4 linked regions of the Drosophila melanogaster genome follow. The gene in region 1 interacts genetically with each later gene. Each region holds a gene or a part of one and is shown in the gene's direction. Other genes may lie near its edges. The genes, in order: Atg7, Ire1, Acn and Hsp27.

Region 1 (6,879 bases):
CCTTCAGCTCGATTACGTTCTTAAGATATGTCTGGCCAAAGATCTCCACCTGCTGAATGCTCATTACCAACGCCTTGAACGTCAGTTCCTGATGAATTGTGTTGGTCACCTGCAGATGCTGGTCGATCATCTGGAATATGATGACAGGCGCTGAAGTGTGGTAGTACTCCTCATCCTGATCGGGCACCGTCTCAGTAAACCACTCCTGCTTCTCCGTTTCTGCGGCCTTGGTCATCCATTCCTGGAAGTTTCTCTGCATATTTTGCAGATATTCATCTTCCAGCGCTTTGAGATGTTCCGGACGCAGCAGAGTACCTATCTGTCGGTGTACATCCACATTAAGATCCGGATGGGACATCAGCTCGACGCCAGGATAGGTGTGTGTAACCCAAGCCATCATTGATACATATTCATTGCCCTCCAAGCCCGAGCGCACAATGTTGTCAAGCTGGAATTAGTAAATATTAGTGGTATAAAAACATTAATCAATTTAAATGATTGACGATTACTCACATAGCTAGAAAGTCCTTCGTGATAGAACTTGACATATTCGCCGAAAATGTCGTAGTGCGGCGGGAAGCAGGGCACACAAAGGGACTTCACAACGCGCAGATCCTCGAGAATGATTTGACGCAATATCTCCAGGTCTCGTACTAACCACATCTTGTTATCGGCCCGCTCCTCTAGCTTGGATCCCTCTATGCGCGTTATCACCGACTGTTGTAGCACGTCCATGATCATGCGGCGCCAAGCCTTTGGTCTTCCAGGCGGCAGGAATCCTGTGACCTTTTGCTGCTGCAACGCGAACTGGTCGTTTTTCTCTTCCCGCTCTATGATGCGTAGGGCGGTAACGATGATGGTGGGCTTCTTGCGCAGAGTGTTCAGCGTGCGGCTAAGAATGAGTCGCAGCTTTTTCTCCAGCTCTTGGGATACCGTGTCAACCTTCTCGAAGTGACGCTTTAGGGTGATCTTGTCGGACGCATGCTGCTTGGGCTGCTTGTGCAGTTCGTAGAGAAGATCATCCCGCGAATTCTCCAGATCCGCCAGGCACTGATGGGCATTAAGCAGCTTATCATCCTCGATCAGCGCCATCGTCTTTTGTACGCTGGCATCTACGTTGAAGATGTGCTTCAGATTCTCCATGGCGGTGGCGTACTGGGAGTGCTTTGTGTTTTCCTCCCGCACAACTTCCAAAGCGTCGTAGACTTCGGGAACGCCCCTCAGCAGGCGCTCCACCTCGTCCATTCGACGCCTTACCTCGCGCACGTCCTGCATGCAGGTCTCCAACTGCTTAAGTCCCACCCTGACCCCGTCCAGCTGTCCTTGCATTCCGGTCTTAAGGAGCGCCTCAACGGATGCCTTCTTCCGGGCGATTCGGTGGCGATATTGTTCCACCTTCTCCAGTTGACCTGGTCGCTGCAACATGTTCTGTATGTCCTTGAGCGCTGCCTGGCGAGCCTGCTCCTCCAGCTGCTGTAAATCCATCTTCAATTTATTTGGATCACTTTCAGTCTCTGTTTTGGTCAATCTTCGTCAGCAGTGGAAGTGCTGGTGTGACCATATAGCAGTGCGGCTGACAATCTCACTTCCAAGAACTACAGTGTAACTTGACAATAAGCTATATTCTACTCTTAAAATTATTATAGTTTTATTGTGTCTTAAAATTTTTATTTTATTCTTCAAGCTTAAAAAATTATGAAGTTAAAGTATATCTTTTAGTTTGCCAAAGCAACAGAGGATTCGACCTAAGTATGGAAAACTGTACTTATCGATAAGTTATCTTCTCATTGGTCTATCGCCATCGAGAGCTTTGTTTGTTTATAATTTGCAGCCAAACGTTTGAACGTAAACAACGCCCTAAGCAAAACATGAGCACGGAAAAAGAGATAATTTTGCAATTTGCTCCGTGGGAATCTTTTGTGTCGCCCACTTTCTGGCACAAGCTAGCGGAGCTTAAGCTCGACCACGATCGCCTGTCCGACTCGAAACGCTCCATTACTGGACACTACACAAATCGTAATGCAAGTGGATGCCTTTTGGAAGTAGACTACACGGCCTACAACAGGTGAGCTTGAAAACTACGAGTTTGATGAAACCAGCGCTTGACCACCCACATTCCAGAATGGCAAAGCCTCCAAAATTCAGCCATTCCGCTATAGGCACCATCTACAATAAGAACACAATCGAAGAGTTCAAGGCCCTGGACAAATTACAACTGCTGGCCGATGAGGGCAAGGAACTGCTGGCTGATATGTGCAGTGGTGGCGCCTTGAGAGATCCCAGTCTATTGACCCGGTTCTTTGTTCTCTCCTTTGCCGATTTAAAGTGTCACAGCTACTACTATTGGTTCGCCTTTCCGTGCCCGCTGACGCCCACCTTAAAGCTTCAGGGAGCCGTCCAAAAACTGCGGGACTTGCCCAATAGTAGTAGCTATATAATGGCTCTAAAGGCCTTACCCACTGAGTCACAGAACTTCTTCATTCTGTATGCTAATGTGGAGAAGAACATTTTCGAAGCCCGTAGTTTAAGTTCCCTTGACGATAAAAATGTTGAGTTCTGTTATTTTGGTTTTGCTGATCCCAGCGAGTATGAGCATCCAGCTTGGATAATGCGAAACTATGCTGCCTTTCTGCTTCAGCAATGGTAGGTAGGAATAGCAATGTTATGATATCAGTTCACACAGTTGTCGGTCTATTACAGTCCCTCTTTTGTTGGAAAACCATTGAAGTTTCTTGGCCTGCGACACAATCAACAAATGAACATCGATGACAGCCTTGTATGGAAGGTGATTCAGACTGAAGCTTGCGATCTTAGCCAAAGCGAAAATATAAAGTTCGTGGGCTGGGAGCTAAATAAAAATGGCAAAATGGGGCCAAGAATGGTGTGCATGAGGGACAGCATGGATCCAGCCAAGTAAGTTAATAGCTATAGACTTAAATGATAAGAACTATCAGTTCATTGAGGTGTGTCCTTAGTGTTAGCTACCACGACAGTTGAAAGTAACTTGTTTATTATTTATAATTTAACAATATTTCTTTCCGTAGACTCGCTGAGAACTCTGTAAACCTGAACCTGAAACTAATGAAGTGGCGCCTTGTTCCCGATCTCAATCTCGAAATCATCTCCCAAACAAAATGCCTGCTCTTTGGAGCTGGTACTTTAGGATGCGCTGTAGCTAGAAATCTGCTGGTGTGCTTTTATACGAAATGATTTAACTGATCTGATAACTAATAGTTTATTTATTTTGTAGTCCTGGGGATTTAAGCACATAACCCTTTTGGACAGCGGCAAGGTTGGGTTCTCTAATCCAGTGCGTCAGAATCTCTACACGCATGCAGATGCTGTGGCAGGCAATCGGATGAAGGCGACTACAGCTGCTCAGAGATTGAAAGAGATCAATCCGTCTGCGGAAACGGCGGGTTATGTGCTGGAGATTCCCATGCCTGGGCATACTATTGGAGAATCGCTTCTAGCCCAGACGAAGGAGCATTTGAAGGTTATCGAAAAGCTTGTGCAGGACCATGATGTCATCTTTCTGCTCACAGATTCGCGCGAAAGCCGCTGGCTGCCCACCCTGCTTGGAGCGGCAAAGGAAAAAGTGGGAACAATCATATACTCACCTTTCAGAAGAGATGTACCTAAAATGTTTCCCTTATAGATTGTCATCAACGCAGCTTTAGGCTTTGACAGTTATCTGGTAATGCGACATGGCACTACGCGTAAGGAAGCAGGCGACGATGGCCAAGAAATCGAAGGACTTAAGTGCATTAATGGCGATCAATTAGGTTGCTACTTTTGTAACGATGTTACGGCCCCTGGAAATGTAAGTCCCATTTGTTGTATAGTTTAAGATAACATTTGTATTTTCAGACTTCATTAGTTGGGTTAACATGGTTACTAAACGCATTCGTAATCATGGCGGGAATATTTTTCGAAGCCAGCGCACGTAGGATCCCCCGTCTGCAGGTGATCCACACCAGTTATCTGCACTACCAGGCCATTTATGCTGGTCACCTTGAAACCCACTAGATTCATCATGGCATTAGGTGTGCGCCAGGTGTAGCTGAAGAAGTTATAACCGTCCACTGCAGTCAAAACCTCGCGTTCCGTAAACGCAAGCGCCAGCTTGAATTGCTGGTTAAAGACGAAGGGGAAACCTCCATGACGCTCCTCGCTTCCGAATCTATAAAAAGAATTAGTTAACGCCCAAAGAGGTACGGCATTATAAAGTTAACTTACTCAAAATTTTTGTTCATGGAATTGCGCACTACTGCCTTCTCATCGAAACGCACACTGAAGTGTAGCTCTTCGCGCTTGGTATCCGAGTCCATGAACTTGATTATGAACTGTCCCTTTTTATTCTCGAAACACCGAGCTGTAAGGACAATCACATGGCCCGGACTAAACAAAATTGGCTGATCGTTACTGAACGCCTTAAAGTAGTCCGAGGCGTGAACGGCTGGCCACGGATTTGGAAACACAGTACGATGATCCACCTGTTTAATGACTTGGATCTGATCACGGATCTCCAGAGCACGAATCGTTCCCAACGGCATGCGGTAGCGGAATCTGCAGAACTCTCGGCTATTTATCGAGATGGCAAAGCTGTCCTCGCAACAAAGAATGTAGACCAAAAAGAACTCGCCACTGACGATGGGATTGGGCAGGGTGTTGGGGTCCATGACATGGGACTCCTCCTCGCCCCAGGCGCCGTTTATCCGGGAATTTCGAACGATCACATCGTTCCGAAAATAGCATGAGAAGCGTAGCCCAATATCTGCGTTCGGATCGACCGTGCTCTTGGCCGTGCAGAGGTTAATGTGGAACCTATCCGAACCAAATGATCACAATCGATTAGTCACGTACTGATAAGAAGCCCAATTTGACAAGTAATTAGTCAGAAAACGGAAAAGCGGTCTTACATTAATGCCGGACAACACTTACCTGGCTGCTCCATCGATGGTCTTGGCCACGACCTCCAGAACATGACCAAACTCCAGCGGATGCGATAGATTGCCAGCGAATTCGGTCAACATGATTCCTTCCTGCAATTACCAATTCAACTAACTATCGCCTTTGTACTGAACAATCAAGCGCAAAATGTGTTTTATAGTTCCGTGGGAGAGTCCGGAGTTCTCCGGCTCTCCCAAATGTTAAAACTTTATCTAATCAGTGATGGGCGGAGCGGCGGGTTGCTCAAGTAACCGATACAAACGCCGAAGTTTTCTATATCTTGTGTTTTTGGTTTTTAAGCGCTGCTATTTGTTTTGTTCTCGCCCGAAGGCGTCATCTTTGTTTGCTCGGAGCATGTGTTTGTGGACACAGAAAAGCTTTCAAAAGCTCTTGATCGTACTACTGCACCGGCGTCGAATGTGCTCCAAATCACACTGAAAAAAACTCTGTATAAAAAAATCTCTTATAGACTCGCTTTATAAAGTTGTACGTACAAATTTGGATACAGATACTCATTGCATTTCGTTCTATTCCATTTTCAGTCGCTCAAAGACCGAACTTTGGATCAACAGTGCACAGTGACACGACCCGGAGTATCCAACATTGCGGCCAGCTATGCGGTGGAATTGTTGGTGGCTTTGCTGCAGCATCCTCGTAAGGAGCTGGCACCCGCCTACTATGCACAGAGTGGGCGTGGCAGGTCGGAGGAGACGGAAGAAAAGGTGCCGGAGGGTCTGCTAGGAATTTTGCCTCACTCCATCCGTGGAATGCTGTGCAACTACGAGAATATTCTGCCCGCCACTCAAAAGTTTGCTCAGTGCATAGCCTGTTCAGCGGTAAGATTTGACAATCTTTTAAAATGGTTTTGATAGCGTTTTCAATATTGTTAAAATTTTTTTTTTAATATATTCGCTTACAGGCCGTCCTAAATGAATATAAAAAAGAGGGTCATGCTTTCCTGTTTAAAACTTTTGAAACAGCCAAGTTTCTGGAGGATTTGACGGGAATCTCCGAATTCAAGCGGTTAAACAGCGAGGTTTGTTTGTTTCCTGTGTTTAATCTAATGGAGATATTTAAAAATTATTCATATTTTTGCACAGATTATCGATTTTGATGATGAAGAATTTGACATGTCCGATAGCGACGAGGATTAGGTTCCACAAAATTGGTCAAGTTTTATCTTCAAAGCAAAATATCTTAAATATGAAATTCAGCTTATTGTGGCTTTAATTTTCTGCAGCATTTATAGTTCAATGTCTATACCAAAAATGTGTGTACTTCAATGCTTTTATTCTATCTAGTCGTTAAGCAAATTGTGAATCATTCAAATGAAATTGATGTGAAAATTAGGCATAAGAAAAATGTGAATTTACTATTGAAAATTGTAATAATAAAAGTGTGAATTTACTATTGAAAATTGTTATAATAAAAGTGCTTAAGTACGGGAACAAATGTATTTCCGCCAATTTACAAGTCGCAGCCTTTAAGCTTTGTTTGTTTGTACGAAACGTGTTTCTGCTGATAAGAGCACTCATTTATAGGCGAAAATATTATTCTGATCTGAGAATTCCCATTTTTGTGGTTGACAAATACCAAAATATTGTTTTCAATTCCCGATCGGTCATTGAATATGTTATTAGCTGCATTATTCAAGGCGAAAACACGCAAACAAAGATGAATGTTCGTATAAAATTGTTTTGGGAATATGCAAATGATTTACATAGTGGGCCAGGTATGCGAAAAGAATAGTTCAAAGTTGAATAAACCTGGTTAGAAAGCCACGAACTAATCGCATATGTAAATTTGCTTATTATGTCTCGGTCAAAGTAGATGACATCCTAGAAATACGCTCACAAATGTTATACTTTAAAGAGATATGTAAAGTTAAAACTATATTTTTAGTCCAGGAATATAAAATGTTTAAAT
Region 2 (7,586 bases), on another chromosome or scaffold:
GGCGCGTTGGGAAGGAAGTGGCCGGCTATGTCAAGCACGCCGGACATCTTGTGGAGATCATGGTCCGCAATGCCGGGCACATGGCTCCTCACGATCAGCCCAAGTGGCTGTACATGATGATTGATCACCTTACTCATTACAAGCACTAGGAAATGCGTACTTAAACTATTCAGTACAATTTGGAGACCAAATTTAAGCCTTTGTTTTTAAAATTAATCATGAATAATTTGGTGTGAGTTTTGAATGCATAAATATGTTGATGAGAGCATTGGGTTGTTAATACTCAACTAAATTCATATAATTTGTTACAGAACTGTATATAACAACAAAGATTAAAACATCAAAAAGAAAATCAACAAAAATGTTGAGATGAAATTAATCCTAGGTTACTTCCCTTTAGTTATTCTATCCAATATAAGCTACAGTCAATTAACAAAGCTTTTAATTCAACTAGTCCAAAAAACGCAGTTAATAATTAACTATCCGTTGCTCCTTTAAAGTTCCTGGCCACCAGGAAGTGCTCGGCGGAGTCTCCGCGGCTAGCGCGCGGTTTTACTCTCTTCACTTTCTCATAAAACCTAAGCATATCTCGCTCCAGCTTGGGCACGTCGCCATTATCCCACACCTTGACCACCAGATGGGCCTGCGGAGCAGACATGGCCAGGGCAAAGCGCAGCACCTCGTAGCAGAGGTTAGTGATGCTCTCCTGGTCCAGCATCCTCACTCCGGTGGCATTGGGTGCCATATCGGACAGCACGCAGTTGACCTTTCTGTCTTGTAACGCTTCCCTCAGCCGCTTTTGTGCCAGCGAAGAAGTGAAATCCATGCCGCCAAAGATTGTGGCACCCGGCACAGCATGGAAATGCAACAGGTCGATGCTAAAGACGGCTCCCTGTGGCGCCCGCTCCTGCTTTCCGTTGGCATTGGTCCGCTCCACGGCCACCTGGGTCCAGCTGCCAGGAGCAGCTCCGCATTCCAAAACTGTGTCTCCGGGCCGCAGTATTCCGTATTTGTCGTCGATCTCCAGTAATTTGAAGGCACTCCGGCAGCGATAGTTCATCATGCGGGCCTTCTCCACGTACGGATCCGCCAGTTGGCGCGTAAGCCACTCCTGGGAGCTCTTGCTCCGTCCTTTGAGGTTCCGCGGCTGCTGTTTGGCATACTTTCCGCCTATTTCCGTGTGCAGCAGGCGTTTAAAAACACAATTACCCGTAAAAACAAGACGCATTGTGTAATATCGAAATTAGATCGCCTATCGATTTTTATCGACCAAAGTCAATACAAGTTCTGGGAAGTTTACACTGCAAGCGCAGAAACTCCAAAGCTCACATTATATTACCACGTATATGTTACAATTTTATCCATGTTGGAATAAAAAGATCTTTTCACATTTAAATTGATTTTATGGCAACAGCGATGGGTAACAATAAGATTTCCATTGCTGCCATCTCAAGCGTCAGTGTGAATGGGATATTATTTCGTTGCATATTTGGCTCGTTGCGTGCTCCCTGGTCACACTTCAAACCAGTACGGTCTTTTCCCAATTATCTGCCCACTGTCACTCTACTCCGCTCACTCGACGAACTCTCAACTCAACAATGGCGAACGTAATTGGAAAATATTGAACGCGAGTGCGAAGAAAATGTGAAATTTAGCACGGCCAGAGCTGCAACAGTGTTTGATGATTGAAAAGTTTTGAAAAAGAGGCGATAATATGCCACAAACAAGAAACGAAAACTGACTAAACGTGCAAACTGAATACGGATCGGAAATAGCAGTAACTAGTTCCCTCTCTCTTTCGCTCTCTTTTCTCTTCTAATACCCCCGCCCCGCGCCCTACCGGTTGCAAAAACAAAATGAGATTCTGCGTTGTTGTTTGTTGCGTGTTATTTTTGCTGGCCAGCGGGCTTATTGCATCAGCTACAGCAAAATCACAACAGGGCGACTCGGCAGAAGTCGTCAGCAGCGGCGAGGATGAGAAGACGGTAAGTGGGGGCGGCACTGGGCCGTATGACCCACTAAGGGCTAACACTGGACTACCAATGAATATTTCATCACCTTGCCCGATATGTTGTTCATAAGTTTCTCTCGCTCTTCCACAACCCGCAGGACTGCACGGACCTCGCCCGCGACGAGGAGGCGCTGATGGTGTTCTCCACACTGGGCGGCGGACTGACAGCCATCGATCCGGTGACCAGCGAAATACGCTGGACAATAGCAGATGGTAATTACGCGGGCACTCCGCTGTCCTCCACACTCACTGCACCCCTATTTTCCGGCCACAAGTGTGGGACTCGAAACATATGATGGGCAAAGAAGGGTCCTTATTATCAAAAGTGGGAATTTTCCAGCATATATCTCGGGAAATGGGTGTTTTTAGGTATCTAAATACTTTAAAGATAAAAAAACAATATGGTTTTGTTATTGAAAACATTCGAACTGGAAGCACTAAGATCTTTCATAAATGCAAAGTCAGGAAAATTTAATTGTTACCGAATGCCACATTAAGAATATTTTTGTTTTGTTTATTGTTTTGCTCATTGAAATGTGAGAATGTTTCTTTAGACCATTTAACAGCTAAATTTAAATCGTTTTATTTGCGTTTATTGTTGTTTTAAGCTAAATCTAGGAGTCTTTTTTTTTTAGGGAAATTGCCGCTTTATTTGCATAGTAGATTTAAAGATCTTAAGAGATCTAGCTATATATATATATTTATTCCCATGCTGTCACCACCCCTCCTGGAAAATTGCCACTTCACCAGGCTGTTGCACTCGCCGTTTGAAGTGCGAAATGCGTAGCACATGCATGCGCTCGATGAGCTCATCGCAGATTTCGTATCTGCCAGATGTAAGAGCCTAGGATAGATCTTTCCACCGCCTTTCGTGCTCTATTATTTTCACTCTCGCCATTAATGTTGTGTATTGTGCTGCGGGCCTGATAAGGTCCCGCGTCTAGCGCAATCTCGACAAGCGTTCTCGGCACACAATTCCACCAATTAAGTTGCCAGCCAGTGCGCCATATCACCAGTTGCTGTTCCCCCATACCCTTTCCGCAGTGGGTGGTTGGGACTTTGAGCCATTTTCCATTCGGTTCATTGAATATTCCCATAATTTCTCAGCGTGACGTATTGATTTTCGGTGGCTCTCAAGTGCGTTAATCTTGTGGTCATTTGGCTGCTTCGTATTAACCTCTGAGATTAGCTGGCATATATAAATGAGTCACCAGGAGAAAGATGTTAGTAAATTGCGCGATTAAAGGGGTTAATGTGCATAGCTTTCGTTTGAATTGGTGCACTTGTTGGCTACCATTAGTATTATTATGTTTGTTTAATGTGTATAGCATTCAATAGATCACTAAAATGGGGCTTCACTTATCTAATTAAAAAGTGAGGGCATTTTCAATTCGAATTATCGAATATTGCTTATAAACCTGGTGCTATTTTTATTTTCACTGGCTTTGTTGATTGATTTTCCACTTCAGAGCATTCATATTCGCCTGATAAGTAATGCCTCAAGAACTTCCTTTAATTACTCCCCAACTAAGTATTGGAGTTATGCCAAATGACTCTCTGTGGACAATACGCCCTCCACATGTTTGTTTAATTTCTGAAATAAAAAACCCACGCCCCGTGAAGATTATTTTATGTGATAGCTGCAATACACATGTATGTCCATTCGTATTATTAGAAATTTCATGCTGCCCGCTTGTCGCCGGGCTTCGTGGAACTGCAAATGATTGAAAATTCAGGGAGACAAACATGTGGACAGCATCTGACTAGCGGTTTCATGGCAGAGCGCACTATTTGGGCAGTATTTTTCCGAGTCATTCAAGCCAATAATATGTTTTTGATTCGCGGTAATTACACTGTTTCGCCGGCTCTAGCACAGCAGATCGGTGTACCGATTTGTTAGGTTCTATTACCTCATCACGAGACGGAATCAGGTTTTGTCTACGACTACCGCTAGGCAATTAGAATGCTCATGCTAATGAAAGTGCTGCGGCGAGTTAAATGACCTGCCCCAGAAATTGCGGCAACATTCGGTTAATGCCGGGAATGTTTTTGGGGTTGCAACTAATTATTGATAAGAATGGACAGTACATCGAATTGTTTGGTTTCATTACTCGATATTGGTTGACGACCATCTTTCCTGGCAATACTTGAGTTTTGTTTAAACCATTTCGTCAATATCGTGCATGCGATGATGGTCTCCATTTGCATTCGACAAAGTCAGAATTTAACGCTGTTGCCTCGCGCGAATTGTTGGCGATAACAGAAAGAAATTGCCAACACGACTGGCGTAAACACTTTGGATTTGATCAGCCAGCCATGGGTCCCCCAGGTCTATTTCGTATTTACCCAACTGCTGTTTGCTTTGGCTTTGTCTGCCGCGCCAAAAAGCCGCTTAATTTATTCGGGCCTTTTGGTGGAAAGTGTTCACGTTCTTTAATGTGCACCAGAAAATGTGCTCTCCGCTTGGGATGGGGTTAATGTATAGATTACATTTTCGTTCCCATCGGTATAAGTATGTACATACATCAGGAGATAAGCGTTATCGAGAACAGGTTCTGGTTATAATTTATTATATTTCCCTTACTTTACTCCACGTTAGTTGCACCGATATCAGGAACTTTTTATTGGAATTTGTTTACTGTGCACACTTAAAATAATTTACTGCAAAAGGGGTTCATCACTCTAAATTGAAAAGATAATAATAATAAGTATACTTGCTAACTAAAGCTGAGTATTGAATAATAATCTGGAATTCAGAAATTTCTGCTTAAACTAAAATTTTTAATTGATAACAGTGGGATTTTTTAAAATTCGTCAAAAATAGACATGAAATGTTCATTACTAGTTAATACTGGGTAATAAAAGGAAATAAAAAGAAGCAAAATAAAACTAAAAATATTGTTATTGCCGGCTAGTCAAATGTGTTTTTGGCGCGGAGTATATATATATTAGGTTATCTTGTCGTAACAAAACAACTTGTAATGAATTCGATGCAGTATGCGATTTGAAAGTTTAACACCACTCGGAATACATTTTGTGTGATTTTGCATATATTGTGCTTTTACATGGATGCAAAGGAATCGGACTTTATCACGATTTCGAATTTGCAATCATGTTTATTACTTTGTTTTTCTTTTATGATTTTACTTTTAAGCTATAATTGTATTTCTTTTAGATCCTCCTATAGTAGCAGAACATCAGGAGAATGTTCAGGTTCCGCACTTTCTGCCCGATCCTCGAGATGGCAGCATTTACCAGCTGGGTCAGATGGGCAGTCTTAAGAAGTTACCGTACACCATTCCCCAACTGGTGGCCAATGCTCCCTGTCGTTCCTCCGATGGAATCCTGTACTCAGGGAAAAAGAGCGACACCTGGTATATGGTGGATCCTAAGACGGGCAGACGCGAAAAGGTTATGGGCTTTGGCGATGCCACAGTGGATGGTAAGGAGGGCGAGCAGATCGGCTGGGCCACTTCGCGGGCCATCTATCTAGGCCGGACTCAGTACACGGTCATGATGTACGACAGCCTGGCTAAGAACAAGGATGCTAAGCCATGGAATATCACATTTTACGACTACAATGCTGTGAGTGCTCCTCCTGAGCTGGCCAAGGAATATGGTAAGTGCATCTCATAATATAAGAGTGTACACATTTGCTTATGATCTCCCGCACGCAGAGTATATACATCTGACCACCACCACCAATGGACAAATTGTGACTCTGGATCGAAAACACGGTAAATTTCTGTGGCAGCGCGATCTGAGCAGCCCAGTGGTGGCTGCATTCCTTTTGGGACCAGACGGGCTACTCAGTGTGCCATTCACCACGGTCTCTGATGAGGCTTACCAGGCCATCCTCGAGGAGTCGAAAACAGGAAATGTGAACACCGTGAAGCTATTGTAAGGGACATACGATATTCGTCCTGAATTCCATATTAATTGTAATATTTTCAACAGCCAATCCCTTTATGTGGGCGAACATCAAAAGGGCTTGTATGCCCTGCCTTCGCTGGTGGACAAGAACACGCCTCGTATTTCCACAGCACCACCTATAAAACTCCTGGATGGACCTACAGGAGACCAGAACAGCAACCAAGAGACAGATCCGCGCACCATTTACATTAACGATGTGCTGCAAGAGCATGCAGGAATTATGTTGGGACACTACAACATGCCCAATGAGGGTAATGGTAACCTGCAGCTGTCACCGACGACAGCCAGCAGCAAGGTGGTTCAAAGTCTGGCCACCATTCACAACTATAACGATGGCTACGGCCTGTTGGCCAATAATGAAAAGAACGCCGCCGACATTGGCGTGCAAACGGATCCCGAGCTGGTCGAAATTGGCATTGATCAGCGGACGAATGGGAACACCATTAATCGGACGAAGACAATAATACTGCAGAACAGCAATAAGGTGCAGGCCTTTATCAACGAGTGGTTTATGGAGCATCCTAGCGGAAAGGTGCATCAGATTCTAATTGTTATCGTTCTGGGTATGATTGCCTTGTTCTGGTACACCTGCAGCACAATGAGGGAGCTGCAAAAGCAGAGCGAGAATGGTTCAAAAACCTTTGCCATAGCCCAAAATGGATCCAATGGAAGCACTGGCAGCAATGGTAGCAATGCGAACGCTGAAGACCTAGTGGACTTGGGTAATGGACAAGTGCGTGTGGGCAAGATCAGCTTCAGCACAAATGAAGTGCTGGGAAAGGGCTGCGAGGGTACTTTTGTCTTTAAGGGCACATTCGAGGAACGTTTCGTAGCCGTAAAACGGCTGCTGCCCGAATGCTTCACCTTTGCTGATCGCGAGGTGGCCCTATTGCGAGAATCGGACGCGCACGAAAATGTGGTGCGCTACTTCTGCACCGAACAGGATCGCCAGTTCCGCTACATAGCCGTCGAGCTGTGCGCGGCCACTCTGCAGGACTACACCGAAGGAGATCGCTCGCTGGAACTTCAAAATCACATCGATGTTTGGCAAGTGTTGAGCCAGGCTGCATCTGGACTTAGTCATCTTCACTCTCTCGACATTGTGCATCGCGACATTAAGCCGCAAAATGTTCTTATTTCTCTGCCAGACGCCAAGGGCAAAGTACGTGTCATGATCTCCGATTTTGGGCTGTGCAAGAAGCTGAATTTTGGCAAGACTAGTTTCTCACGCCGATCGGGTGTAACAGGCACCGATGGATGGATAGCCCCAGAAATGATGAGATCACAGCGAACGGTACGACATGATTTTTATTATTACCCTACACTACTTCTTCACCATCACAAGAACTTTCTAAAATCGATGTCTTTCAATTATTTACAGACAACTGCTGTGGATATATTTTCCTTGGGCTGCGTTTATTATTATGTTTTAAGTGGCGGTCACCACGCCTTTGGTGACAATCTGAAGCGACAGGCCAACATACTCTCCCACGAATACAATCTGGCCAAGCTGCGCCCAGAGGACGACAGTGAGGACAGCCGAATTGTAGGTTATCTTCACCAAAAAGTTATAGCTAGTTGTTCTAATTACTTCATTTTATTTTAAAGATCCTTGCTGAGCAATTAATATCGGATATGATAC
Region 3 (5,705 bases), on another chromosome or scaffold:
AGAATCCTCACTGGCGCTTCTCTCCATTCAGGGTTGTCTTTATCTCGTTGAGACAATACTCGGCCTGCTCTACGGCATCGGGATTCTGGTGTTGCTTTCCCAGTTTCCACGCCAGTCGGCAAGCGTTCTCCGCCTGCGACATCAGGCCCTCGCGAAGATACACCAAACCCAGATTTGCCTGCAGAATGCCTTCCTGGGTGGCATCCTTTAGCTCCTTAGTCAGCTCCATGGCCTCCAAAAGGGTCTCCCTTGCCTCGGCGTACTTTTCCAGCTGTAATTAGTCTAATGTGTTTCAAGTACTTTGGAAGAATAGACGCACCTACGTTTACGTACGCCACACTGATGTTATTTAGGATGGTTACAGAGGCGTCGTTAACGGCACCATAAACATTTATGAGCGTGTCGAAGGCCTCCTTAAAGAGGTTTTTAGCCTCCAGGTATTTTCCCTGCTTCATCAGCAGCTGCCCGAACCTGGAAAATAAACATAAGGAAAAGTATTGAAAAAAGGCTTGGTTAGCGGCAATGGAAACACCTTCAATACCAATTCTTTGTCAAGCCATACAGCTCCAGTATGTCCTTGTCGTCGGGCATTTTCTCCAGTAGCTTAGCCAACTGCTGCAAGGTCCAAGTGAACCCTTGAAAGCTCTTTTCCAGATCCCCTTGCAGCTGAGACATGTGTGCTATCTTGGAGCTGATGTGAAGTATCTAAAGATGAAAGAGATCTTAACTGGTTATGGTGTCTAAGTGGGTCACCCACCTTGGGACTCTCTTCGGTGTGACCCTCGGCAAAAAGCCGTTTCATAACGTCCGTGAATATCTTCTCCGCCTTCTTAAACTGCTCGCGTTCCATGGCCAAATTGGCCATCAGATCAAACACATATGTGATGCCGTCCTTGCTCTGAATATCCTGCGCCATTCGCAGAGCCAGGTGAAGCATTTGCTCGGCCTTGTCGTACTGTTCCCTCTGAATGCACAGGATTGATCGTTTGATGGTCTTGATCAGTTTTTCCTCCGGAGTTTCCTCTTTTTCGTCGGCGCCACCAAACAGATTCAGAGTGAAAGCAGCGGAAAATGCCCAAAACATTCCACCGGAAGAGCCAGAAGCGGGCGGAGCTGCCCAGGACACCTCGTAGCCCGCAGCATTGGAGCACAGCGGTCGACATCCGAATTCTGACCGTTGGTGATAACGGCTTCTCTTCAGCGGCGCAAGATGACAGTAATCTCTGGGATTCACGACAACGCGGAACCTGCCCATAACTTGCGTAAACTTGCAAATATTTCTCACTAACATGTTTAGGGCTTTATTAATTATTTAACTAAAACCTATAATGTTGCAGGTATGGTATTAAAAATTATGAAATAGCACGTATGTAGTGTTGCAAAGCGCGGTAAAGACGTTTTAAAAGTACATTTCGTAACGCTTGATTAAGAACATAGAAGACTTTTAAATAATTTCTACTCTATCATACTTTCGCAAATATATTTATGTTTCGTTAAGATTTCGTAAACAAAGGTTTTTAAATTTTTTAGAGATGACACTGTCAAACAAAACTTTATCGGCAACTTTGGTACCTAACATTTCGTTCATAAGTTAAATCTGCGAACAAAAATAAATTGATAAGTAGAGTTATTAACAATCTCGAATAAAAAACATTTAAGTACATTTGATAAAGTTTTTCGTAATAAGGTACTTCCTTCCCCCATCGCATACGATACTATCGATAGCCGTCAGCGGGGCGATAGACCGAGAGAAAGCATCCCTGTATATTGATGGCGGATTGACGCTCTTTCGCCTAGTAAAATTATTTTTCTTATCAAGAAAAGGTGCAGAATATAACGAGGAGTGAATTCGCAAAGCAGTGCATGAAATAGCTGTGGGTCCGCCGGCTGTACCTACGTTTTATTTCAGATCTTTCCAGCGTCGCAGCGAGTTTCCAGCGATTTTCGGACAGCCATGAGACGTCGCAGCGAGCGAAAAAAGTCGTCGTCGCCCGCTCCGGTGCCGGTGGCAGTTGCACGGAGAAGTCGCCGCTCCCGCAAGGTGTCGGAGAACGAGAAGACCGAGGTCGAGACTCCGGTCGTGGCCCAAAATAATGAGGCCGAATGCCCCAAAGTACCGCCAGCCTCTCAAGAAATCAATGAGGCGCGGGCATCCAGTGAAGAACGTGCCGGATCTGGAGCATCGCCAGTGCGCAGGAGTCGCGGCAGCCGGACGACGCCTAGAAAGCGCACGGAGTCCAAGGGCGGCGACAAGAAGGTGGACACCATACCCGAGGAGGAGCCGGAGAATGGAAAGGATGTTGAAAAGGACGCTGTCGAGGAGGAAAAGACTGTAGCGCCACCCGCGGCTAATGAGAGCGAGTCCGAGGACCGTGCCAAGACGGAGGATCAGCAGGCTCAAGACGATGAATCCTGTGCTGAACCCGCTGTAGTCAAGGATGATGATGTTGAGAAAGAGGACTTAAAACCGCAGCAGGAGGTCCCCACTTCCACTGATGATGACACCAAGCAGAGCGAGCCAGAACAAGAGGTAAAGGTTCCTTCTCCTTCCAGCAAGGATGAGGAACATCTAAAAACGACTAGTGATGTATTAGACATTCAGACAGAAGAGGTCGATGAAAGGGACGAAGAAGCCTCCGCTCCTGCGGAGCGCAGAGAAACCAAGAAGAGGCACAAGGAGCAGATAAAGGAACAGCAACCCGCAGAGGAGGAGGAACACAAGGAAAACCACAAGCAGATAGACGAAAACCCAGAACAAATTCACGATGAACCAGCAGATCTTTCGAACGACAAGCACGATCCATGTCTAAACAGCAGCGCAACCAACACAACCGGTGCTCCAGTTCTGCAGCAACAACGGTCGGTGCGGAAGCGAAAGTGGCTGACTAACAAAAAGTCTTCGGATCGTACCCCGCCCGTGCTTGCCATTTCGACGGATTCCCTGAAGAACATTATAGCCGATGTGGTGCAGCCAGTGCCCCTAAGCGATGTGCAACTGGAATCGTCCTCAGAGGAGGAAGGCCTGGTCACCAGCGATCGCGATTCAGAGCGATCTGCTTCACCGGCGCCCCCATCTGAAGCAAGCAAAGACCGCGATAACAAGGGCAATACCGCCAACACCTGCGACACCACCGCAGAGGCGTCGGCAGATAATGAAGGAGCAGGAGCCGCTCCTCCAGCAGCAGCAGACACGGTTTCAGCCCAGGTCAGCCTGAGCAAAGCCACAGTTTCCACGGCAGCACCACACATAGTCCGTGACCCTAGTCCTGCTCGAAACCGCGCCAGCCACGTGCTCTATATCACCAATTTGGTACGCCCCTTCACAGTGCTGCAGCTGAAAGGCCTGCTGGCGCGGACGGGAAAGATCGTTGAGGAAGATGGTTTCTGGATAGATCGGATCAAGTCTAAGTGCTATGTTGCCTATTCCACTGAAGAGTAAGTATTGTAGTTGCGCAAATAGAACCTAATCTCCAGGGAGTCAGTGAAATATGCCTATAAAAAACTCACACTTGCAATTATTTTGCTTTTCAACCTTTAAGCGAGGCCATCGAAACCCGACATGCCCTGCACGGAGTTCGCTGGCCAGTGTCAAATCCCAAATGTTTGAATGTAGATTTTGGCAGTCGCACTGATATGGATCGGGCAATACTTTCAACGAAGGACGAGGCTCCGAGGTACGGGCAGGAAAACACCAGAGATAACCAGCAGTCGGGCAACGCTTGGTCCCGGTTGGAACCGTCTGACAAAAAAGTAATGGATTATTATCACAGCATAGAAATGCGGAGCTAACTTGTCTTTTTCCTTCAGCCTGCGCGACCTGTACGCGAATGGGATGTTGGCAAAAAGGAACCAAGCGACCACGACAAACACAGCAACGACAGGCGTCGGGACAGCAAGGATCGACTGGACTCGAGGTCTAGGGATGCGGAGCGAGCCGGACAGGAACGAAAGCGTTCTAGGGACAGAGAGGGGCGAGGACGCGATCGGGAGCGGGAGCGACTTGATCGCAATGCACATGCAAGGAGCCGCAGTGGATCGCCAGGTAAAGCCCGTGGGATACATTTTCCTGTCATGAGAAATTCAAAAACACCCCGTTTAAATAGCGTCCAAAACTAAGAAGGAGAATGAACCGCCTATCAGACTACTAGATGATCTATTTCGAAAAACCAAGGGAACACCTTGCATATACTGGCTGCCACTTACGCCGGAAGCGGTAAGTTGCTGAGATAAATAGTTCCAATCAACGAGAATCACTTCTAGACCAAGTCCGCCTGAACAATAAAATTTCTTCCGGCTTTCAGATCGCAGAAAAGGAGGCATTCCGTCAGAAACGCATTGAGGAGCACAAGCTGCGTATTAAGGAACGGGAGGAGCGCCAGAAAGAGCGGGAGAAGGATCGTGACCGCCAGCGCGAGACGCGTCGCAATCGTTCCAACGAACGGCGACGATCTCGCAGTCGCGAGCGGGAGCGAAGACGTTACTAGGCGGAGGCTTGAGATTGAGCAAATAAATGTTGATATCTCAAAAACTAAATCAACATATAAAAAAAAACTTCAAGAAACAGCAACTAAAACTTCAGCAGGGTCTCATCACCACCCGAATAATTTCAATTCTTTTCTTTCGAGCGTTTTGCGTTCCCAATTAGGCCGACGTTTGTAATATTCAACTTGAACTGAACCGACTTCAAATTGAATACTTTCGCCAACGTCTCATCCACATTCTGATTTTGAGATTTCAAACTCTCTTTTCTTCGTTATTTTTCTCATTGTTGTTGTTCCATATATATATAGCATATATATTTCCATATATATATATATAACCTGATTTGATTTCTTTCCTCAAATGTAGCATTTTACAGCGCCTAACGTCACCTCACCCCAAAACGAAACCACAGCAACCAGAAATGCGCCGGCATCAGATCAGCATCAACGCCATGGAAACTTACCATCGGACTCTTGAAACTACTGCAGCAAGTTACCATGCTTATATCTATTCAATAAACAAACATAAAATAATTGATTAAAATATTGTAAAATCAAATATTTCTTAAAATTTTAATGAACTTAGAAATACAATTTAACATCAGTCGGCAAGCTTGTGACAATGCCAAAACCCAAAAATGTGTTTTAAATGTCTGAGAAATATGCTTATCGCACGACTTATTCGAACAGAAAAAGAAAAGAATGTAATTCCTCAAAATTATAGAAAATGTTTTTGATTCGTAAGAATCATGGTATTTAGAGCATATTATTATAATTTTAATACTCTTTAATTTATATATAAGGTCAGATTTATAAAGTATGAACTTTTTGCCATTTATTTACTTTTCCTTATCAATTTTTAGTAAAAACACTGCTTTTATTAATAATCGCGAGTCTAATTTATTGATTAAACTTAAAAAAGAATAAATGAAGTTGTCCGTTAAAGTACCAGAATACCCCCAACAATAAGTTCGTTTTAATCGATAGTCCATGTTAATAAGCTATCGGAGCCGCTTAATGATTTATGTCAATAGTGCTATCGATGAGTTTTAATTTGTATTAACATTAATTTAGTGAAAAAATGTGGTCCGACACAATATTAATTGTTTTTATATCGGTTTGCACCGCCTTCCTGGGCGAAGGTAAGTAAAACGCCAGTTAATTTAGTTAACCCTACATATTTGTTTGCCTAGGTCTTACATGGGTGATGGTTTACCGGACGGA
Region 4 (4,004 bases), on another chromosome or scaffold:
GGATGGCTTCCAGGTCTGCATGGATGTGTCGCACTTCAAGCCCAGCGAACTGGTGGTCAAAGTGCAGGACAACTCCGTCCTGGTGGAGGGCAACCATGAGGAGCGCGAAGATGACCATGGCTTCATCACTCGTCACTTTGTCCGCCGCTATGCTCTGCCACCCGGTTATGAGGCTGATAAGGTGGCCTCCACCTTGTCCTCCGATGGTGTCCTGACCATCAAGGTGCCCAAGCCACCGGCAATCGAGGATAAGGGCAACGAGCGCATCGTTCAGATCCAGCAGGTGGGACCCGCCCATCTCAATGTGAAGGAGAATCCCAAGGAGGCGGTGGAGCAGGACAATGGCAACGATAAGTAGAGGACTCGTTCCGAGAGATGCCCTGCATTATTTAACCATTATCAAAGTCATACATCTGTTTTATAAGCTGTAGTTATCCAAGGACACTTCACTCATACACAATAGCCATTAAGGGTGTCCTGCTTTAATCTTAGTTTGGAATATGTATTACTAAATTGGCGAAATTAATATTACCCATAAAAATAAATAACAAGTACACTTACTTATAATTGTGTTTGGTCTGTTTTTCTGGTTGGTTATGGGTTACTATTACTATTACTTTGGGAATTGTTTGGCTAGCTTGGCCCTTTTTCCTGTGATCCCGGTTTCTAGAATTTACTTTCTGCATTGTATATTGCATTGTTGTGTCACGTAAAATGGCATTTTTATTTAATTGTTGTTTGTGTACATAACTGACTTTTTACATTACTTCGGTAAAGAGACTTGAAGCTATGAATGTAAGGAACTTCAGTCAAGGTTAAATCCTTATGTAAAGCATGCATAAGTACATCATGTACATACATACGTACATAAGAATATACATCCCTTTTCACTCTCTTCTTTTTAATGAATTTCTGTCATCTCTACAAGAGATGTACGTTATGTACGTCCTTATAGCACGTACCTATGTACATGTATAAATTGAACTTCATTTTTGTATGTTACCGCAAATAATTACGTGCATGCACACATACACATACATATGTATGTATGCATGTAGTTTTGAAAATAATTATGTATTTTGGTTAACTGGTGAACCAAGAATAAAAAGATTCTATATACACATATACATATATATAGAAATGTATGCATATGTACATATAATAATCGAAACACTTGCAACAGACTGGCAATGATTTGCAAAATTTTCAATTGCCCCGTTTCCCACTTCGCGAAGCAGTGGCGAAAGCAACTGCAAAAATGTTTGCAACAAACAAAAGAACGGCAAACATGAGGAGCAGAACGAAGCGAGACAAGGGTTCAATGCACTTGTCCAATGAAAATACAAGCTCTGTTGCACTCTGAAAAGACAGCTTTTAAAAGAGCGATAAGAGAAGAAAATGCTTTAAATAAATACATATATCTGCATATATACGTACATGTACATACATATGTATGTACTGCATTTTAACTGTTCGTTTTGCTTTTTATTCGCAAAGAGAAACTCCCCAGAAAAGAAATGTCAAGAAGTTTCTGGTTCTTTCTCCCTCTCTCTATGAAAAGCCGGCTGTGCTAGAAAGAGCCAGAAGATGCGAGAGAAAACTGTTTGTTGAATTACGGGGCGTATTCAAAGGGGCTTTTAAATGTCGCTTAAATTTTAAGTTTGACAGGCTAATAATTGCTTGCCTATATCTAAATATTATTATATTTGCATTAGGGGATCATAGGGAAAACCTTCTCTGCAGGCAAAATCTAACGAAGATGGCAACCCCCCATCATTTTATTAAAGTTCCGTCCCTGGTTGCCATGCACTAGTGTGTGTGAGCCCAGCGTCAGTATAAAAGCCGGCGTCAACGTCGCCCGAGCACAGTCTAAACTGAAAAATTGAAGGCAAACGTTGAAGCAAACTTCGCTAAAAAAATTCGAAAAAGCAAAAAAAATTCCTTTGTCTAGACAGGGTTGTGAATAAAGAGAAAAAAAATCAAAAATGTCAATTATACCACTGCTGCACTTGGCCCGGGAGTTGGATCATGACTACCGCACCGACTGGGGGCATTTGCTGGAGGATGACTTCGGTTTTGGCGTCCATGCCCACGATCTGTTCCATCCGCGTCGCCTGCTACTGCCCAACACCCTGGGACTGGGTCGTCGTCGTTATTCGCCGTACGAGAGGAGCCATGGCCACCACAATCAAATGTCACGTCGCGCGTCGGGGGGTCCAAACGCTCTGCTGCCCGCCGTGGGCAAAGATGGCTTCCAGGTGTGCATGGATGTGTCGCAGTTCAAGCCCAACGAGCTGACCGTCAAGGTGGTGGACAACACCGTGGTGGTAGAGGGGAAGCACGAGGAGCGCGAGGACGGCCATGGAATGATCCAGCGTCACTTTGTGCGCAAGTATACCCTGCCCAAGGGCTTTGACCCCAACGAGGTAGTGTCCACTGTCTCATCCGACGGTGTGCTGACCCTCAAGGCCCCGCCGCCGCCCAGCAAGGAACAGGCCAAGTCGGAGCGCATTGTCCAGATCCAGCAAACGGGGCCTGCCCATTTGAGCGTCAAGGCACCGGCACCCGAGGCTGGCGATGGAAAAGCCGAAAATGGCAGCGGCGAGAAAATGGAGACTAGCAAGTAAAAGACGAAAAGAGGAAGACTAGGAGATGAAGAAGACGAGAAGAGGAAGAAGACTAGAAGAGGAAGAAGTCGTGAAGGAGGAAGAAGACGACGAGATTCGCTGGCGAAGCACGAGAGAAAGAAGAATTTAAAAGAAGAAACGGGAGTGTTGCCGCGCTGCTCGGAGAGAGCAAGACTAAAAAGGACACACCACAACACACCCAATGTATTACATTCACACACATCACATCATTACATCATCATCATAACATCCTAGACTAAGTGATTTTAAACTCCATTTATCATAATGCATAAAAAAAACAAAATTTTAGTGTGTATTATTAGGCTAAACAACTGGAGGATTCATTGCTCCCTTTGAGTTTATACTTTTTGTAACAAGAACAGGCGCAACACTCGGGAGAATTTTGCATTTCATTTGTGAATAAACGAATACAATAAATACAAATACACGAAAAGAAGTCAGCTGTCGAGTTTTTGTTGGTTTTTTTTCCTTTTTAGCTTCGAATCTGCAAATGTATTTGCATTTAGGGTAAACCGGCTTTTGTTGGGTGTCGTTAACTTTCAAGGGGTCTTATGTACATATTCTGTTTTCCTTGTCCTTGAATTGGACTTGTGGAAAATTAAATGGTCAGCCAATTGCTTAACCTTTGTCGACGATTGTTATGATGATTTGTAATGATTTTGCACAATTCAGAAATCGATATAAAAAAAAATGGGAAATGATTTTTGTTTTTCAATTACATTTTGACAAACGTCATGCAAATATTTCCAGTTCCGCGCACACTGAAAGAAAATCCAAGATAAGAACGACATTTAAATAATTTAATCAATTGTTTGCACATATTTATTTAAATATTTAATACATAATAAAAAATTTAGTTGCCCGTTCTGATTTCATATTGGTTGTTTTATGCTCGTAACTTGTAGCGATCATAAGTATTTACTGTTAATTCTATATCTATATCTAAAACGGCTTTCATTCATATTTCTCAGCTGGGTGTTGAGATACGGATATATCTCAGTTTTCTCGGCTCCGTGGAGCTTTCGCTGTTAACCGCGAAAAAGCTTTTAGTGGTTGTCATGTTGCTGTTGTTGGTTTTATCTTAGTTGATGTTAAGTAAAAATGTATTTTATGTATTTTTCTGCATTTTCTACGGCTGCGGCTGCTGTCAATATGTTTTTGCTTGCATTTATGCACGTTATGTATGTATATTCAATGACGCTTAATCACAGATCAATTTTTTAAAATTTCATTTGACTTAGAAGTTAAGAAACAAAACACATCCGAAGCACGAGAGAAAGAAGAATTTAAAAGAAGAAACGGGAGTGTTGCCGCGCTGCTCGGAGAGAGCAAGACTAAAAAGGACACACCACAACA

Evidence for each region.
Region 2: of Atg7 (region 1) and Ire1, changing one suppresses a phenotype caused by changing the other (phenotypic suppression), as found in Drosophila melanogaster (one study listed by BioGRID).
Region 3: of Atg7 (region 1) and Acn, changing one suppresses a phenotype caused by changing the other (phenotypic suppression), as found in Drosophila melanogaster (one study listed by BioGRID).
Region 4: of Atg7 (region 1) and Hsp27, changing one suppresses a phenotype caused by changing the other (phenotypic suppression), as found in Drosophila melanogaster (one study listed by BioGRID).

The regions. Positions count from the first base shown.
Region 1 is NT_033778.4:18,619,949-18,626,827, reverse strand, and holds Atg7 (Autophagy-related 7), read left to right. Parts: upstream 1-1,783; 5' UTR 1,784-1,868; coding exon 1,869-2,065; intron 2,066-2,121; coding exon 2,122-2,643; intron 2,644-2,700; coding exon 2,701-2,913; intron 2,914-3,044; coding exon 3,045-3,189; intron 3,190-3,250; coding exon 3,251-3,598; intron 3,599-3,658; coding exon 3,659-3,823; intron 3,824-3,841; exon of another isoform or gene 3,842-3,897; coding exon of another isoform or gene 3,898-4,183; intron 4,184-4,239; coding exon of another isoform or gene 4,240-4,827; intron 4,828-4,944; coding exon of another isoform or gene 4,945-5,036; exon of another isoform or gene 5,037-5,287; intron 5,288-5,495; coding exon 5,496-5,789; intron 5,790-5,872; coding exon 5,873-5,989; intron 5,990-6,053; coding exon 6,054-6,107; 3' UTR 6,108-6,362; downstream 6,363-6,879. Other genes in the region: Sec6 (secretory 6), read right to left, coding at 1-448, 514-1,485; CG5335 (uncharacterized protein), read right to left, coding at 3,898-4,183, 4,240-4,827, 4,945-5,036.
Region 2 is NT_033777.3:19,855,285-19,862,870, reverse strand, and holds the start of Ire1 (Inositol-requiring enzyme-1), read left to right. Parts: upstream 1-1,579; 5' UTR 1,580-1,856; coding exon 1,857-1,985; intron 1,986-2,109; coding exon 2,110-2,224; intron 2,225-5,186; coding exon 5,187-5,630; intron 5,631-5,688; coding exon 5,689-5,911; intron 5,912-5,968; coding exon 5,969-7,238; intron 7,239-7,325; coding exon 7,326-7,490; intron 7,491-7,552; coding exon 7,553-7,586. Other genes in the region: CG4572 (uncharacterized protein), read left to right, coding at 1-149; Mrm2 (mitochondrial rRNA methyltransferase 2), read right to left, coding at 476-1,228.
Region 3 is NT_033779.5:19,043,613-19,049,317, forward strand, and holds Acn (acinus), read left to right. Parts: upstream 1-1,742; 5' UTR 1,743-1,954; coding exon 1,955-3,435; intron 3,436-3,539; coding exon 3,540-3,750; intron 3,751-3,807; coding exon 3,808-4,042; intron 4,043-4,103; coding exon 4,104-4,213; intron 4,214-4,301; coding exon 4,302-4,484; 3' UTR 4,485-5,205; downstream 5,206-5,705. Other genes in the region: Ttc19 (tetratricopeptide repeat domain 19), read right to left, coding at 8-271, 324-471, 542-705, 758-1,291; CG10470 (uncharacterized protein), read left to right, coding at 5,563-5,623, 5,675-5,705.
Region 4 is NT_037436.4:9,382,201-9,386,204, forward strand, and holds Hsp27 (heat shock protein 27), read left to right. Parts: upstream 1-1,862; 5' UTR 1,863-1,985; coding exon 1,986-2,627; 3' UTR 2,628-3,494; downstream 3,495-4,004. Other genes in the region: Hsp23 (heat shock protein 23), read left to right, coding at 1-358.